Linked DNA regions of Ovis aries. The protein of the gene in region 1 binds, or shares a complex with, the protein of each later gene. Links are inferred from orthologs where the notes say so. Each region holds a gene or a part of one and is shown in the gene's direction. Other genes may lie near its edges. The genes, in order: NDUFAF1, TMEM126B, ACAD9 and ECSIT.

The links.
Region 2: NDUFAF1 (region 1) and TMEM126B share a complex: the UniProt entries of both Homo sapiens proteins name them as parts of the mitochondrial complex. The link is inferred for Ovis aries from reciprocal best matches to the Homo sapiens genes NDUFAF1 and TMEM126B.
Region 3: NDUFAF1 (region 1) and ACAD9 share a complex: the UniProt entries of both Homo sapiens proteins name them as parts of the mitochondrial complex. The link is inferred for Ovis aries from reciprocal best matches to the Homo sapiens genes NDUFAF1 and ACAD9.
Region 4: NDUFAF1 (region 1) and ECSIT share a complex: the UniProt entries of both Homo sapiens proteins name them as parts of the mitochondrial complex. The link is inferred for Ovis aries from reciprocal best matches to the Homo sapiens genes NDUFAF1 and ECSIT.

The regions. Positions count from the first base shown.
Region 1 is NC_056060.1:35,045,265-35,049,681, reverse strand, and holds the start of NDUFAF1 (complex I intermediate-associated protein 30, mitochondrial), read left to right. Parts: upstream 1-1,384; 5' UTR 1,385-1,436; intron 1,437-2,306; exon of another isoform or gene 2,307-2,400; intron 2,401-4,417. UniProt on the Homo sapiens protein: As part of the MCIA complex, involved in the assembly of the mitochondrial complex I.
Region 2 is NC_056074.1:9,451,347-9,454,644, reverse strand, and holds the end of TMEM126B (complex I assembly factor TMEM126B, mitochondrial), read left to right. Parts: intron 1-165; coding exon 166-349; 3' UTR 350-2,533; downstream 2,534-3,298. UniProt on the Homo sapiens protein: As part of the MCIA complex, involved in the assembly of the mitochondrial complex I. Participates in constructing the membrane arm of complex I.
Region 3 is NC_056072.1:58,823,851-58,827,808, forward strand, and holds part of ACAD9 (complex I assembly factor ACAD9, mitochondrial), read left to right. Parts: intron 1-110; coding exon 111-211; intron 212-1,044; coding exon 1,045-1,123; intron 1,124-2,138; coding exon 2,139-2,313; intron 2,314-2,845; coding exon 2,846-2,919; intron 2,920-3,958. UniProt on the Homo sapiens protein: As part of the MCIA complex, primarily participates in the assembly of the mitochondrial complex I and therefore plays a role in oxidative phosphorylation.
Region 4 is NC_056058.1:13,600,992-13,605,379, reverse strand, and holds the start of ECSIT (evolutionarily conserved signaling intermediate in Toll pathway, mitochondrial), read left to right. Parts: upstream 1-1,280; 5' UTR 1,281-1,364; intron 1,365-2,121; 5' UTR 2,122-2,214; intron 2,215-4,388.

The DNA.
Region 1 (4,417 bases):
TCAGTATAAATGCTGACTGGATCATCTTTTATCCTTCCATTTCTGTCCCTCTTAGCATCTTGATATTATTTTCTGTTTCCATAAACCAGTTTTCTTCACAGTACTAGAAGGTCACTCAGGAGCTCCTGCACCAGCATCACCTGGGGTCAGAAGGTCTCTTTTCCAACGTTAGTTCAGAAAGTCCCTAGGACTAACTGACTGACCCAGTACTGGCCAGCTTTCTACCACTAGATCAGTCAGCTGAAGCTGGGGGGTTGGGGGAAGGTGGGAATGGGGAAGTTGTGTAAATACTTGTGATCAAATGAACGGGATGTGGAAGAGAGGAACATCAAGCTGAGAAAGTATAAACTCTCTTATGAGGAGAAATGAGTGTGGTTTAGGTAGATACCACCTGGGATGGTGTTGGGCCACATCCCATAGGCCCAACCTCCAAACGCATGAAACAGCCTGGAAACAGGGACAGAAACATCAAGGATTTATTGGATAGGTGATCTGAAGCAAAAGGTCCTGGAACAACACCCTACTGAGGGCTGCAAATAGAACACAGCGATCTTCCATACTTGGTGGCAGGGAGAAAAAGGCTACCATTTATAAAAGGGGGAGTTGATGTCAGGTGGTCTCCTCAGTTCCGAGGGACTAATTAATCCTATACTTAAGAGACTGGATAGTCAAGTCAGTGAATCAAGCCCCCATGGGGCTGTACAGAAAGCAAAACAGCCATCTTGAATGTCCTGACCATACAGATAAGAAATTGAGGATAAGTATGAGTAGTATAGATGGAGTAGGAGATTATGGAGGGCTTAGAATTGATGAGTGGCATGTTTGGAGGCCAAAGGAATTTTGTGTTTATCTCTGGGTGATTTTTAAATGAAATTAGACAAACCATTGTGTTCAGAGTAAGGCAATCAGCAGACTGAATGTAAATTTCATAGGGCAATAACTATTGGGGTTTCACTGGATTTGGAAAACAAGAGTGAAAGATCAAAAGAGAGCAACAAAACAAAGAGGATTTAGGGTCAGTGAGAGGTTTCAAGGAGAGAAGCCAAGGATAGCCAAGAATTTTCAGCTTAGAAGGATGTGGGCATTTACAGAAACAGAAAGGAAGAGAAGAGTTCAAATGGGTAAGTGTGATATTTTCTGTTTTCAACAAATCACATTTGAGATGCTAGTGGTATATCCTGCAGCTGAACCTGTTGTCAAGAAATTGGAAATATATGTTGGCGTTCAGGGGAAGAAATTATCCGACTGTCTGTAGATAACTCATATATAAGCTAGAAAAGAAGAAGGAGAGGGGAAAAAAAAGGAGAAGAAGAAAAGAGGAAGGCCGAAGGCTAGGTTTTGGAGACAACCTGCATTTAAGGTTGTGGGAGGAGAAAGAAGAGTCAGTAAAGTAGGAAGCTAGAAAAGGTTCAAGAAGGTAGGAGAACCAGAATCAGGTAAGTGTACAGGCTAGAGAAGTCAAAGCAGAATTTAAAGAAGGAAGAGGTGATGGTGTGAAAAAAGAGAGATGGAGGAAACTTTGAAAAGGCAGTTGTACTTGGCGAGGTCTTGGACCCTGGAATACGTGTTTAAGTGCCCTACTTTTCATTCAAAGTCAGGTAGGCTGAGTGCTTCATTCCTGCTGGCGTTTTGCTAGGTGCTGAGAACAGAAGAACATCTTCTGGACCCGAGAGCTCGCAGCGTGGCAGAGGAAGTGAGAAGTGAATGAATAATTATAATCAAGATTCGGTGTTGAAAGTGCACAGGATACAATCGAAACTCTGCAGAGTGGGCGACCCCACGGGGCCAGATTGGGAAAGGGCGGGTAGGATGGTTTGCTGTCCAAGTTTGTGGTGGGTCTCCAAAGATTCCGCGGGGTCAATTCACAGAACCAATCCTCTGAGGCCGTGGACCTCTCTTGGGCGGCTGTGGGGATGGAGCGCGAGTGAACCCTGGATCCTTAGGTGCGAAGGATGTTGGCAATATCTGGGTCCTATTTGAAAGACACGGGATGGAGTTTGCAGCCTGAAGGTGGGATGCCGGAAGGAGAGGCGAAAATCTTCTCTAAATTCTCCCCACTTTCTCACACAGGGCAGAAAAAATCTGGCGGTTGGCGATCGGGGTGGGGAAGCCTTTGGGAATATAGCCGACCAAAAAAACCCCTCAGTTCATAGAGCTCTGAGATTATTACTCTTTCCCCCATCTGCACCCAACCGGAACTCTAGAGTCATCAGGCTTGGTTTTACTCAGGACAGGAAAAACAGATGGCCCCCGCACAGGAAAAGTGGAGTACCCGGTCTGGAAAAGCGGGGAGTCGAGCGGAAGTCACTCTGAGGCGCCGGCAGGGGAGGCAAGTGAGCGCCTGCTTGGAGTTGGCGTGTCGGGAGCTTGTGAGAGTGACACGGCCCTAGCAGGTGAAGGGTAAGGGGGCTGTGGCACGGTCACGATCGCTCCCCGACTAAACACTGGGACTCTGGGGTTACTAGAATAATTCTGGGGTTACTAGAGTAACTCTGGCCACTTACTAGTTGTATGACCTCGGGTGATTTAATTTTGGAACCTCCATTTGTTTGTCTCTGCATTTGGAATAATTATAGTACCTTTCTCATCGTTGTTGTGAAAATATCAATGCACTCAGAACGGTTTCTGGCATTTCGTAAGCTTTGGGTACACAAACTTCGCTAATACTCCTCTCTTTTAGCCGCTTAGGTTACACTGTCAGGAAAACTCAGCAACTTCATCTGGAGATCATCCAGTTAATGATTTTGACTTTATGTTTATCGGTAATAGAATGAAACAAAACACTTCAATTAAAGTTATATTATTAGAGAAGTAGTAACACTATTGATAGGTTGAAAAATAGTGAATAATATTACTTACAGTCCCGTTGTCCTACACACTATTCTAAGTCTTTTTCTTCTTTGCCCCCAAATCTTTTTTGTCCATACATTTTTATACTTGTAATGTTAGTGTATATGCATTTTTTGTATATACTCCTCATTTGCCACTCACTAGTGTAACATAAGCATGGTATTCATGAGAATTCGTGTTTATGATTGTACAGATTCCATTTTAAAGGCTTATCATTTATTTCCCAAATTTCTGTATATGTAGAGGTATTACCTGTGATTCCAGGACGTGAGATCAACTGTGGTTATTTCTCCTGGTTCCCTTCTACTTTTTGTCCATGTGAAAACGTACCGTTTACAAGATGTTCATTTATTTTAGCAGACATTTGAGCATCAGTTAGGTTCAAGCCATAGTCCAAGATTAAAGCCAGGCTACTGAGGTAGACAGATAAAAGCAAGATTCTAATAGTATGTAAGGGCTGTGAGATGTATGCACAGGTTCTCATGAGAATACGGAGGGAGAGCAGTGTCAGTGCCCTCCATTCAGAAGCCACCAGGAACATCTTTATAGCTGAACAAGTTGGGCTTACTATAGTGGAAGAGAATACATAAAGCCATGGGGCATCTCATTTAAAGGGTGTTAGAAGGGACTTATTGTTGGACTTAGGTTTCTGTTATATGATTTGGGGGAAAGTAGTCGAGAGATGGAAGTAATTCTATGATTAGGAAAGAAGCTTATGTATCTAGAATGAGGCTAATGCTATGACTGGTCAGGTATGGCAGTCACTTGTATTAGCCAGGATAGTAGAATGTTTGGTCACTTTTGTAATTTTTGAGTGATGTGTTTTTGTGTATCAGACATGATTGTAGTTAAGAGCTGAGGGTATTGCCCATGAAAGTGAGAAGTGAGACCAAGGAATTGGGTGCATTTTGAAGGGCCTTGTGTACCATTTTAGGAGTTTTAATTTCTGGACAGAATTGCTGAATAAGGGGAGGGCCATCATATTTAGAAAAATCCCCTTTGTTGCCAGTCAAATGTTGGATTGGCAGAGAAGGAGGAGGTCAGAGTCAGAGAAGAGTTAGGACTTTACTAAATCCTAAAAGGTGTTCTCTGCACCAGCAATTACCTGGGGACTTGTTAGAAATACAGAATATCAGGCCCCATCCTGTGCTCACTAAATCAGGATCTGCACTTTAACAAAATTCCCATAAAATTCAAGGCACTTTAAAGTTTGAGAAGCCTCTCCCCCCTTTTTAAAAAAATTTTTTTATCCATTTTTTGGCTGTGGTGGGTCTTCGTTGCCGTGTGTGGACTTTCTCTAGTTGTGGCGAGCCAGGGCTACTCTTTGTTGTGGTGTGTGGTGGCTTCTCATGTGGTGGCTTCTCATGTGGTGGCTTCTCTTGTTGCAGAGTATGAGCTCTAGGCAAGAGGGCTTCAGTAGTTGCAGCACGTGGGCTCAGTAGTTGTGGCGTAGGGGCTTAGCTGCCTTGCTGCATTTGGGATCTTCCCGGACCAGGTATCAAACTGGTGTGCTTTGCATTGCAAGGTGAGTTCTTAACCACTGGAATACCAGGGAAGCCCAAGAAGC
Region 2 (3,298 bases), on another chromosome or scaffold:
ATTTTAATTAAAATATCATGGTTTCATATTTCAAATAGCTAATTTTAACCCTTTTTGCTTTCTACATGAAAGATCTAGAACAGAAATGATCAGTTTAGGAGAAATCAGCAAATGTTCCGTAGAATTTACATCCAGACAAAGTCCTTAACCCTTTTTCCTTTTTAGGTATCATACTGTTCCCCTGCCACCAAAAGGAAGGGTTTTACTTAACTGGCTGCTGCTTTGTCATACAGAGATAAAAGCAATGGTGATCCCTCTCATCCTTCAGACAACCTTTGGAATATTTCATGGTCTGCAGCACTATGCAATATTTGAAAGTACACTTGAGAAAACTGTACATGAAGATTAACTGAAGAATGAACGGACACTAAACCAGCTGAATGAACTTTTTTATAAGGACTCAGGCATTGCCGAAAGAGTTAAAAAATAGTTCTGGATAGACAGTTTGTCTCTTTTCCTTTTGCCCGGTATACAGCAGGTGCTCAATAAATAGTAAATAAATGTAGGTTTTTGTCTCTGTTTCATTATTATATGTGGAAATAGGCTTGAGGCCCCAAGGTCTAATCTATACATTTATATATTTATTTATTCATAAACATTTATGGAGCACCTGCTAGGTCTCAGGCATTGTGTTACTTTTAATAAGAAATGGTTCTTACCCAGAAGAAACTCACAATTAGAAATGTGAACACAGAGCGTGAGAGGGTTTGAGAGGTATACCTGTAATTGTGTGAGCATATTGAGGATGTAGCTGGTAAATACTTGTGCAGAAGGGAAAGCTATGGGGAAAAGTGACATTGTCCTAAATTTTGAAGGGAAAGTTGAAAGTTCACAAGAAATCAATATAGAAATAACCTAACAGCCCATTCCTCTAAACTCTAGTTCAGTATACTTAGTAGCTCTTTAATCATTAACAAATCATCTTCACTATGCTATTTAAAGAACATTTATTTGGGACTTCCCTGGTGGTCTAGGGACTTTTAAGACTCCATGCTCCCAGGGCAGACAACCTTTGGAATATTTCATGGTCTGGGTTTGATCCCTGGTCAGGGCACTCTTGCCTGGAAAATTCCATGGACGGAGGAGCCTGGTGGGCTGCAGTCCATGGGGTCGCTAAGAGTCAGACACGACTGAGCGACTTTACTTTTACTTTTCACTTTCATCCAGTGTTCTTGCCTGGAGAATCCCAGGGATGGGGGAGCCTGGTGGGCTGCCATCTGTGGGGTCACACAGAGTCGGACACGACTGAAGCGACTTAGCAGCAGCAGCAGGGAACTAGATCCCACATGCTGGAACTTATAAAGAGTTCGCATGCCATAACTAAAGATCCTGCTTGCTCCAATGAAGATTAAAGATCCTATGTGCAGCAACTAAGCCCCAGCACAGCCAAATAAATATTTTTGAAAGAAAGAACATTTATTGAGTACCTATTTTCTATTAATTAATACAGGTACCAGGGGTACAAAGATTCAGTCCTTGCCCTTAAGAAGATTAATCTAAACAAGGAGGTCACAGCAGGCTGCTTTAAGTCTGCTATAGCACTCCTGAGCTACACATTTAATTAAGGAAACTTAGTACCAGAAATGAACACTGATAAACAAGACATGCAATGGAATCTCATAGCTTTTTCTCTGTCTTAATCATGTTCATCTTGAGATTTAAGGATTTGGTCATCTGAGGCCCCAAGCAACCTAGAGCAGAAATGGAAATCTTAACGAGGTGCTTTACAGCATCAAATGTAACAATCTGAAACACATATACTCCTGCTAATTAAAAAAAACAAAAACAAAAACACGGCCAGTAAGCCATTCAACTTATATTCTCAGAATAACTCATGATACTTGAAACTGAGGAAAAGGCAGGTGAAAGGAGGGAGAGAGGGAACCAAGTCAAGTAGATAACTACATCAATGGTATTAATATTAACTCTTAAAAATTATTAAGCAACAAGTACATGAAAACCTCATTGTGAGATATTCAAATGATCCAGAAGAATAAAAAGACATGAAAGTCCCCCTTTACACCCACTCCATCCTATTTCTACTCCATTCTCCAGAGAACTACTAAGTTAGCACGACTCTTTCATTAATAGTCTTCTTTTATAATTTATATTTTTTTAAATAAATGGTATTATCCATACATATAATAGAAATTAATTTTCACTTCACTGTATATCTTAGAGAGCTCTCCAACTCATTTCATCTAAGTCTAATATGTGCTTTTTAGTGCCTAAAAAACATTCTTAGTGATTCCAGTATTCACATAGGTGACCCTTCTTTCAACACCCTGGTCTCTATCATACCACTTATTCCCGTGGTCATACTCTAAACCTGTGCCATCCAATATATAATAGTCATTAGTTGTTTGTGGCTGCTGAGCATTTGAAATGTGACTAGTCTAAAGTGAGATACATTGTATGTAAAATACACATAGTTTAAAGATTTACTATGTAAGATATCTCAATCTTGATTGCATGTTGAAATGTTACTCTTTTGGATACACTGGGTTAAATAAATAAAATACATTAAAATTGATTCTATCTGCTGCTTTTTTTAATCTGGCAACTAGGAAATTTTCAGTTACATACACATGTGCATGCTAGATCACTTCAGTTGTGTCTGACTCTGCGACTCCATGGACTGTAGCCTGCCAAGCTCCTCTGTCCATGGCATTCTCCAGGCAAGAATACTAGAGTGGGTTGCCATGCCTTCCTCCAGGGGATCTTCCCAACCCAGGGATCAAAGCCACGTCTCTTAGGTCTCCTGCACTGGCAGACAAGGTCTTTACCACTAGCACCACCTGGGAAGTCCTACATAACATGGCATGTATTTTTATCGAATTATGTTTCTCTAGACCTTATCATTATCAATAAATTCAAACACTTCACATTCTCAGTTATGAAACTCCGTATTCTGATCACTACTTCCTGTCCTTCCCATCTTTTGCTTCTCACACCACATTACTCCGGCTTTACCAGAATCTATAATCCATCAATCCCACTACCTTTCCACCGTCTCTCACCCCTCTCACATCCTGACTGTCCCTCTCCAGTTTCAGCTACATCAATCTTTTTAAAGTTTCCCAATCTTGAGGAAAAAAGAAAAACATAAAAGTGAATCTAGCTAAATTTGATTATGAAATAAAGTACTGGCCTCTTCTTTTGTGAGTTTTCAATTCACGTCTTTGACCCATTTGATTTGTAAATCAAATTCTCTGTAAATTCTGGGTATTTTGTTTCTTCAGATGCCGAGACAGTCATCTGGGAAATAGCGAGATTGACTTATATGTTCACTTCCCTT
Region 3 (3,958 bases), on another chromosome or scaffold:
TTTTCGGGGCTGCCAGCTCCAGGCGGCCCCCTTGTGTGAAGGGAGCGTGTTCTGCGAGCCCGTGGCGCCCGCTCCCCTCGCTGCCGCTGAACAAGCCGTGTGTGTCGCAGGGGATCATCTTGGCCGGCAGCAAGGAGCAGAAGGCCAGGTACCTGCCCAGGCTGGCGTCCGGGGAGCACGTGGCCGCCTTCTGCCTGACGGAGCCAGCCAGGTCAGCCCCACGCCCCCCGCAGCCTCTCTGCCTGTCTGCTTCCTGCTCTCATCTCCACCGCCCTTCTCCTCCCTGGTGACCCCGGCAGACTAGAACAGGCCCGTCAGCTCCTGTTCTGTAACCGTTTTATGCTTTGCAACCCTCCTTATCGGCTTTCCTGGAGGCTCAGTGCTCGCTAAAGAACCCACTTGCCAATGCGGGAGCCCCAAGTTCCATCCCTGGGTCGGGAAGATCCCCTGGAGAAGGAAACGGCAACCCACTCCAGTGTTCTTGCCTGGAGAATCCCATGCACAGAGGAGCTTGGGGGCTACAGTCCGCGGGGTCCCAAGAGAGTCGGACACAACTTAGTGATTAAACCACCACCCTCCTTATACAAAAAAAGCATTCAGGCGTCACAGTCACAGCGACGTTCAGACTGTGTGGGGTGGGTGGAGTCATCCGCACTGTCCAGGCTGTGGACCGAGGTTCAGCAAGGTAGAGTCATCAGCCCAGAGTCTCAGCTGCTGTGGACTCAGCTTCCGACGGCAGGCTGATCTCAGAGCTTGGCACCGTGTGAATCCGCCTATCTCTGCTTGGGCCTCCCAAACGTCCTCACGGACAGTTTCACCCAAGGTGATAACGTGGGATTGGCCAAACCCACCTTGCCACCTGTTTTTGTGAGCTTTTACTGGAATGTACCTGCTTGTGCACACATTGTCTGAGCCTGCGAAGCTGAATGCATGTATTACCTGGCCCTTTAAGAGCTTGTCAGCTCCCCTGTTCCACTCTGAAACCTCCTCTGGGGGCCCTAAGGATGCTTGTCTGTTCCCAACCACCTGTGTCTGTCCCCGCAGTGGGAGTGATGCCGCCTCCATCCGGACCAGGGCCACGCTGAGCGCAGATAAGAGGCACTACGTCCTCAACGGCTCCAAGGTACGGCCGTGTGGCCTCCGTGGCCGGACCTTCAGCGCACTCACTGGCCGCTTCCCAAGCTCCAGGGGTCGTCGGGCCGGGCACACCACCCCTTGACCGTCTTCCTTTGTTGGAAGAAGAAGTGGGCTCAGAGAGGCTCCCTGACCCACCCCTGTCCTGTCCGCCTCGCGGCAGGATAGGTACCCAGGCCTCCCGGCCTCAGAGTCTGCGGGCTTCTGGAGCACCACCCACCTCGCTGAGCTGCACTCGTGGGTCTGTCTGCTAATTTTCTCTATTACACGCGTGTACTGCTGGGAACGTCCGCAGCTGCCTCCTACCTTCGTTGCTGCCTCTGTTGTGCCGCAGCTCTGGGTAGTGGCCGGGGCGGGCTGGGTGCGGTCTGCAGGGTGGTCATAGCACCGCTGGGCACGGAACACATGATGATGGCTTCTGGGCGTCCCCGGTGGCTCAGTGGTAAAGAGTCTGCCTACGGTGCAGGGGCCACAGGAAACGTGCGTTCAGTCCCTGGTGGGGGAAGATCCCCCGGAGGAGGGCAAGGCACTCCACTCCAGTACTGTCGCCTGGAGAATGCCACGGACAGAGGAGCCTGGTGGGCGGCACTCCATGGGTCACAGGGAGCCAGACAGGACTGAGGCAGCTGAGCACGATGACTGCTTACCGTCTCCTTAGCACCCATGGTTTTCTGATTGTCTCATACCTGTTCGGTGTTTTTTTTTCCCCCCAAACAAGTTGCTTGAATCAAAATCCAAGTAAGTTCTATGCAGAGCCATTTATCAAGGAGTCTCTCCCCTTCCCCACCGCCTCCTTCTACTTCCCTCCCCACCCCAAGGTGTCCTGTGCTAGAACCAGAACTGCCACACACACACACTGCACACACTCACACAGAGACCCAGACACACACGCCCCTCCAGGGAAAGCCTCGCTCTGCTGTCGTGCGCTGTGATGGGCGGCCGGCACCGACAGGCGGCCTGGAGTCGTCTGCTTTCTCTGGAGCCCTGCTGCTCTCTTTCCTCAGGTCTGGATCACCAATGGGGGACTGGCCAGCATCTTTACTGTGTTCGCGAAGACGGAGGTCGTTGATTCCGACGGCTCCGTGAAGGACAAGATCACAGCGTTCATAGTAGAGAGAGACTTTGGTGGCGTCACCAACGGGAAACCCGAGGATAAGATGGGCATCCGAGGCTCCAACAGTGAGTGGCGCTGTGCGCGTGTGCGAGAGATGAAGTGTGCGGCCCATGCACGTGTGTGCGCGTGCGAATGTGTGGCAGGAGATGTGTGTGCCTACATGCGTGTGTATGTGAGAGAAATTGTGAGCGAGGAGGGCGGTGATGACTCCCAGGTGAGGCTCCCGCTGCCCGGTGGGACGCCCAGCCTCAGGGGAGGCCGGGCTGGAGGGGTCCTGGTCACGGGGCTCAGGACCTCAGACCCCCGTCTTCCCCCCGGGGCCCCCTCCTCCTTCACTCCCTCCTCCTCGCCCAAGCCCGCCTGCAGCCCAGTGCGCACTTGGTTCACTTGAGGCCAGCGTCCTGGACGTGGCCCTTGGCCTGGCCAGAGCGGCCACACGGTCCTCATGGGTCCCTCAGAGGCCGAGGGGCTCAGCCTCTCAGCTGCCTCGGCTCAGGCCACGGGGGCTCTGAGCGAGTGAGCGAGCCGCGTGGCCTGCATGCGGGCCGGGGGCCGAGCGCCGGGGCCGCAGCTGAGCTCCTGGCCAATGTGTTCCAGCCTGCGAGGTCCACTTTGAGAACACCAGGGTGCCAGTGGAGAACGTCCTCGGGGAAGTCGGAGGCGGCTTCAAGGTGCGTCGCCTGCTGCCCAGGCCCGCGGAGCGGAGAGAACCGGGCTCCGGGTGTCCCCCGCCCGGCTGGAGGCCTCGTCTCCCTGGGGCGGGCTGGGTTCCTGCCTGCAGGTCTGGGAGGGCAGCCCGTGGAGGGCAGGGTGCACAGGGCGGGGTCCCGAGTGTGCGCCCTGATTCTTTTTCTCTTGGAGTTAGATTGTCTCGTTTTTTCGTTGACAGGTAATTCACGTGGCAGAATTTGCTGTCTCCCGCATGCTCGCTGTGGTGATTTTCAAGATGGTCACTGGGCTCAGCGCCCGACTCTGGGTCTGACTTCAGGACGTTGCCGTCACCCCAGAAAGCAGCGCCATGCCTTCCCCTCCCCGCGCCAGCCCCGCTGCCACTGCTGTAGCGTCTGCTTCTGTGGACCTGCCTGCTGGGGCGTTCCGTTGCGTGCAATCTGCGTCGGGATTCTCTCACGCTCTGTAGCCGAGTCCCAGAGGTGTCGGGTGAACGGACCACATCGTGTTCACCTGTCATCAGCTGGGGACGCCTGGGTTGGTTCGTTTTCAAGCCATTTGAGTCGCACTGCCGTGAACGCTCATGTGCGTGTTTGTGTGGGAACACTGCTTGCTGTCCTGCTGGGGGCACGGCTAGAGGAGCGCGGGGGCACAGGCTGACTGCACGCCGAGTGCTCTGAGGGCCCACCGGGCTCCTGCACGGTGGCTGCGGTTTCACGTTCCCACCAGCAGCACGTGGACCTGAGGGCCCCAGGTTTTCCACATCTTGCCAGCTGGTATGCTCGTCCTGTCTTAAGTTTTCAACCTGGCCTGGGGTAAAGTGTCTTCACCCTGGGGGAAGCTGCCGCCACCTGGCCTGTGCATAGGGGTCAAAGCAGGACTTCCCTGGCCTTACAGATGTTAAGAGACTCACCTGAGGGTGCCAGCCAGGCCTCAGCACCCGAGGAGTGGAGCAGAGTGGGGGAGGGTTTGCAGGGGGGCGCCCTGTGCGGCTGCCGCGCGGGGAGGGCCCAGGCTCCCTGAAGGCCGTCCCGGAGACGC
Region 4 (4,388 bases), on another chromosome or scaffold:
CCCCCCTTATTTTGTGCTATTTGGGTTGTTAGCCTAAAACCAGGGCTTTCTGGGAGCAGCCCAGGAGCCCCTCACACCACTCTGACCTCATATTCCCCTGTTCATTCCAGCCAGTCATAAAGGGCCTTTGCAGTTGCCCCTTGTACCCAGTGTGTGTGTGTGTGTGTGTGTGTACATGTGTGCGCATGGTCAATCATTTCTGACTCTTTGCACCCTCATAGACTGTAGCCCGGCAGACTCTTATGTCCATGGGATTTCCTCAGCAAGTATACTGAAGTGGATTGTCATTTCCTCCTCCAGGAGATCTTCCCGACCCAGGGATAGAACCCGTATCTCATGTGTAGGCAGGCAGATTCTTTACCATTGAGCCATCTGGAAAGCCCCATGTTGAGTCCCCTGTAATAACAATAGCATAGGGAATCCTCTGGTGGTCCAGTGGTTAGGACTGGAGGTCCGAGCTTCCACTGAAGGGTGCATAGGTTTGATCCCTGGTAGGGGAACTAAGATCCACACGCCAGGATGGTGCAGCAAAAAAAGAAAACTTTTAATACTCCCCACAACCCCCGTATACATAAGGTTATTATACTTGGCCCATTTCAGGAGTGAGACAATCAAGGCACAGATGGAGTAAGCACTAGCCCAGACCCACGAAACTAGATTAACAGAGCCTGTCTCTACTTGAGCTTCCCAGGTGGCGCTAGTGGTAAAGAACCCGCCTGCCAATGCAGGTTGGACTTAAGACACACGGGTTTGATACTTGGGTCTGGAAGATCCCTGGGAGAAGGAAGTGGTAACCGCCTCCGGTATTCTTGCCTGGGGAATCCCAGGGACAGAAGAGCCTGGTGGGCTGCAATCCATAGGGTTCACAAAGAGTGGGACACAACTGAAGCGACTTAGCATGCACAAGCACATCTCCGTCACTAATGGTAATGCTGACAACTCAGTGCCTGGCTCAAACATTTGTAGAACAAGTGAAGGAATCCACATCACTTCCACCTTTAATATTTCATTCCCACATTTCAGGTGGGAAAACTGGGGCCGCCCAGGTGTATTCACAAACACACACCTCCGCCCCTTACTCCCACCCCCACCCCCGACAAGTCCAGTCACTCCTTCCCCATGCAAACTCCTAAGTCCCCTGTGCTGTTGGCCTAAAGGTAGGGTCTGCCTCCTTACGAGGCGGGACCAAGGACTTTCCACCTTTCTATTGGCGTTTCTCCCTTTGGGGCGGGACCTCTCTAAACCGGCGGTCTTGATTTGCTGTCTCCCTGGCGGCCCGTGACCCGGAACATCTCTGGGCAACATGGCGGCGCCCAGCGGCAAGATAGAACGGGCAGGGATTCCGCGGCCAGCCGCGTGAATAGGTAGGTTGCACGTGGGGAGGCAAGCGCGAACTTCTGGGCACCTGGGAGGCCCGTTCTGGGCTGGCAGTGTGGGAGGGAGGCTTCGGAGGACCCCGGTTTCCGGGCCAGGGCACCATGACCTTTCGGCGTACCGGGCCGGGTTGTGCCGGCAAAAGCCGCACTCAGCTTACCTACCTCTCCACGTCCCTAATTTCCAGTTTTGCATATGAGACAGCTGAGGCTCAGAGAGATTAGAGCCGTCTTTCACGGTCACGCTTCAAGTCGGCCGCTAGGTTGGATTTCGACCCCGGGTCTGTCGCTGACACCCAAAGGAGTCAAAATCCTGGCAGCCAGCCTCAGAGCTGCTGTAGGTCCATCCTGCCTAGGGGTTCAGATTTTTAGAAGTTTGGTAGAAATTTAGCTCTTCCTGATTCAGCTGACACTTGTTGGGTACCTACATTATACCAGGCACTGTCCCGGGTGCTGGAGACAGCAATAAGGCAGACACACACACACACAGACACACACACACACACTGGAGACAGCAATAAGGCAGACACACACACACACACACACACACTGGAGACAGCAATAAGGCAGACACACACACACACACTGGAGACAGCAATAAGGCAGACACACACACGATACAGCAATAAGGCAGATACACACACACACACACACACAATCTTCCCAGGGAGTCAGACATTGAACAAATCATAAATAAGTGAAACATGTGATTTCAGATGCTAATAACTGCTTAAAATGCATTCATCAGGGTAATGGCAGAGACTGGTGAGCTGTCATCTATGGGGTCGCACAGAGTCGGACACGACTGAAGCGACTTAGCAGCAGCAGCAGCAGCAGCAGGGTAATGGGGCTTTAGATTGGGGAGTGGGGTGGTGATCAGGAAAGGCTTCTTATTTGACTATAGACCTGAATGCCTGAATGACCAGAGACTGATCTGGGGGAATAAATTTCTGAACAGAGAGAAAAGCAAGTTCAAAGGCTCTGAGATTAGAATAAAGCGAACTTGTTTAAGAAACAAGTATAGCTGGAGCTACCAGTAATAAGAAAAGAGTTTTGAGGGGCAGATTCTGATTTAATTTTGTGTGCTGTTTCAGTGATTTTAGGCAGAGAACACTAAATTTACTTTACATTTTAAAAAGCTCCCTCTGACCACTGCAGGGAGAAATGACTGGAGGCAGGTAAGGAAAGAAGTTGAGACTGGATAGGTGAAAAGAGATCATGGACTGGAGTGGTGGCCTGCAGATGCAGAGAAATGGATGCATTTAAGATGAATTTGGAAGCAACAGGAGTAGCTGATGAATTGGACTGGGGGAGTGAGGGACACAGTGGACTCAGAATTCCCAGGTTTGTGATTTTAATGACTAGCAGTGGTGATGTCATTGGCTAAGATGAGGAGGGACACGTTTAAGCAGGGATATGATTTGGAGCAAAATAAGTTTGAGATGGCTGGGGAAAATACCAAAGTGGCAGTTAGGTCAGGAGACTTGGGTTCAGGACTGGTGATAAACATTTAGGAGCATCAGCACATCATCATTTCTAAGACCTTAACACACAGAGGAGAAACCTGGAGTTTTGCTAAAATGCAGATTCTGATTCAGTAGGTCTGGATTAAGGCTGAGATCTGGCATTTCTAATAAGCTCCCAGATGATAACACAAATGCAGCTGGTCCCATAGATACTCTTTGAATAGCAAAGGTTTAGAATAAGGTCTTAATCTCAGGTGGGTGTTAGAGTCATTGTGGTGCTTTAAAATGCTAATACCTGGGCCCTACCTCTATATATTTTGATTCAGTATATCTGGGGTATGGCCTGGACATGGGAATTTTTTAAAGCTCCCAAGATAATTCTAATATGAACAAAGTTAAAAAACCATTAGCGCTGCCTACAGGAATACAGAGAGGAGAGGAACACCTCTTTTGGTAGTTGAATGATGTCTTAGGGTAGCAGACAGATAAATTCAGAACGTGGGATTCTTCACAGCCTTATTACTCAGAATTCGGTCTTCAGACCAGCAGCAATCAGCATCACTTGGATGTTTTTTAGATGTACAGTTTCTGGTTCCACTGGACCTGCTGAATCAGGATCTGCATTTTAATAAGATCCTCAGTGATTCATCTGCACATTCAAGTTTGCAAACATTGCAGACTTTAGAGAAAGAAGCAGGGCTTGCTGATTGGCTAAAAAAACAGGCCTGGGTGCTAGGAAGAAAATCAAGAGTGTCAACATGGGAGGAGGGCCTCACCCATGTGAGATAATTCTGAGAAATTGAGCAAAATGAGGCCAAAGAAATAATCACTGGCTTTGTTAAATGGAGAACACACAAGGGGTCTTTACAGGAGTGGTGTCAGTGGAGTGGCTGGGGCAGCAGCCAAGTAGGAAAGAGTGAGAAGGGAGTGTAATATGCAGACACCTCTTGGGAGAAGCCGTGCTATAAATGGAACAGAGATGTGGAGCAGAGGCGGAAGGAGATGCTAGAGAAAGTTTAAATGGTGGTAAGAGTGAGCCAAATACTTCCCAGCTCATTTTATGAGGCCAGCATCACCCTGATAACAAAGCAAACAGATATGACATGAAATGAAAACTCTAGCCCAGGTTCTCTTATGAATATGGATACAGAAGTCCTCAACAAAATACTTGCAACCCAATCTAGCAGCAAATAAAGAGAAATACAGCATGACCAAATGGAATTTATCAGAGAAATGCAATGAGTTTAACAGTTGAAAATTAATGTAATACATAATATTAACAGACTAAAGGACAAAATTCACATGAGTTCAATAGATGCAAAAAAAAAAATCATTTGACAAAATATAATGAATGCCCTTTTTGATAAAAATACTCAGCATCTAGTAATAGAAAGGAATGTCCTCAACCCAATAGGTCATCTGTGGACAATCCTATGGCTGACATCATAGTTAATGACGAAAGACTGGATGCTTTCCCCCTAAGATCAGGAACAAGGCAAGGATGTGCACTCCGGCCACTTCTATTCACCTTTGCACTGGAGGTTCGGCA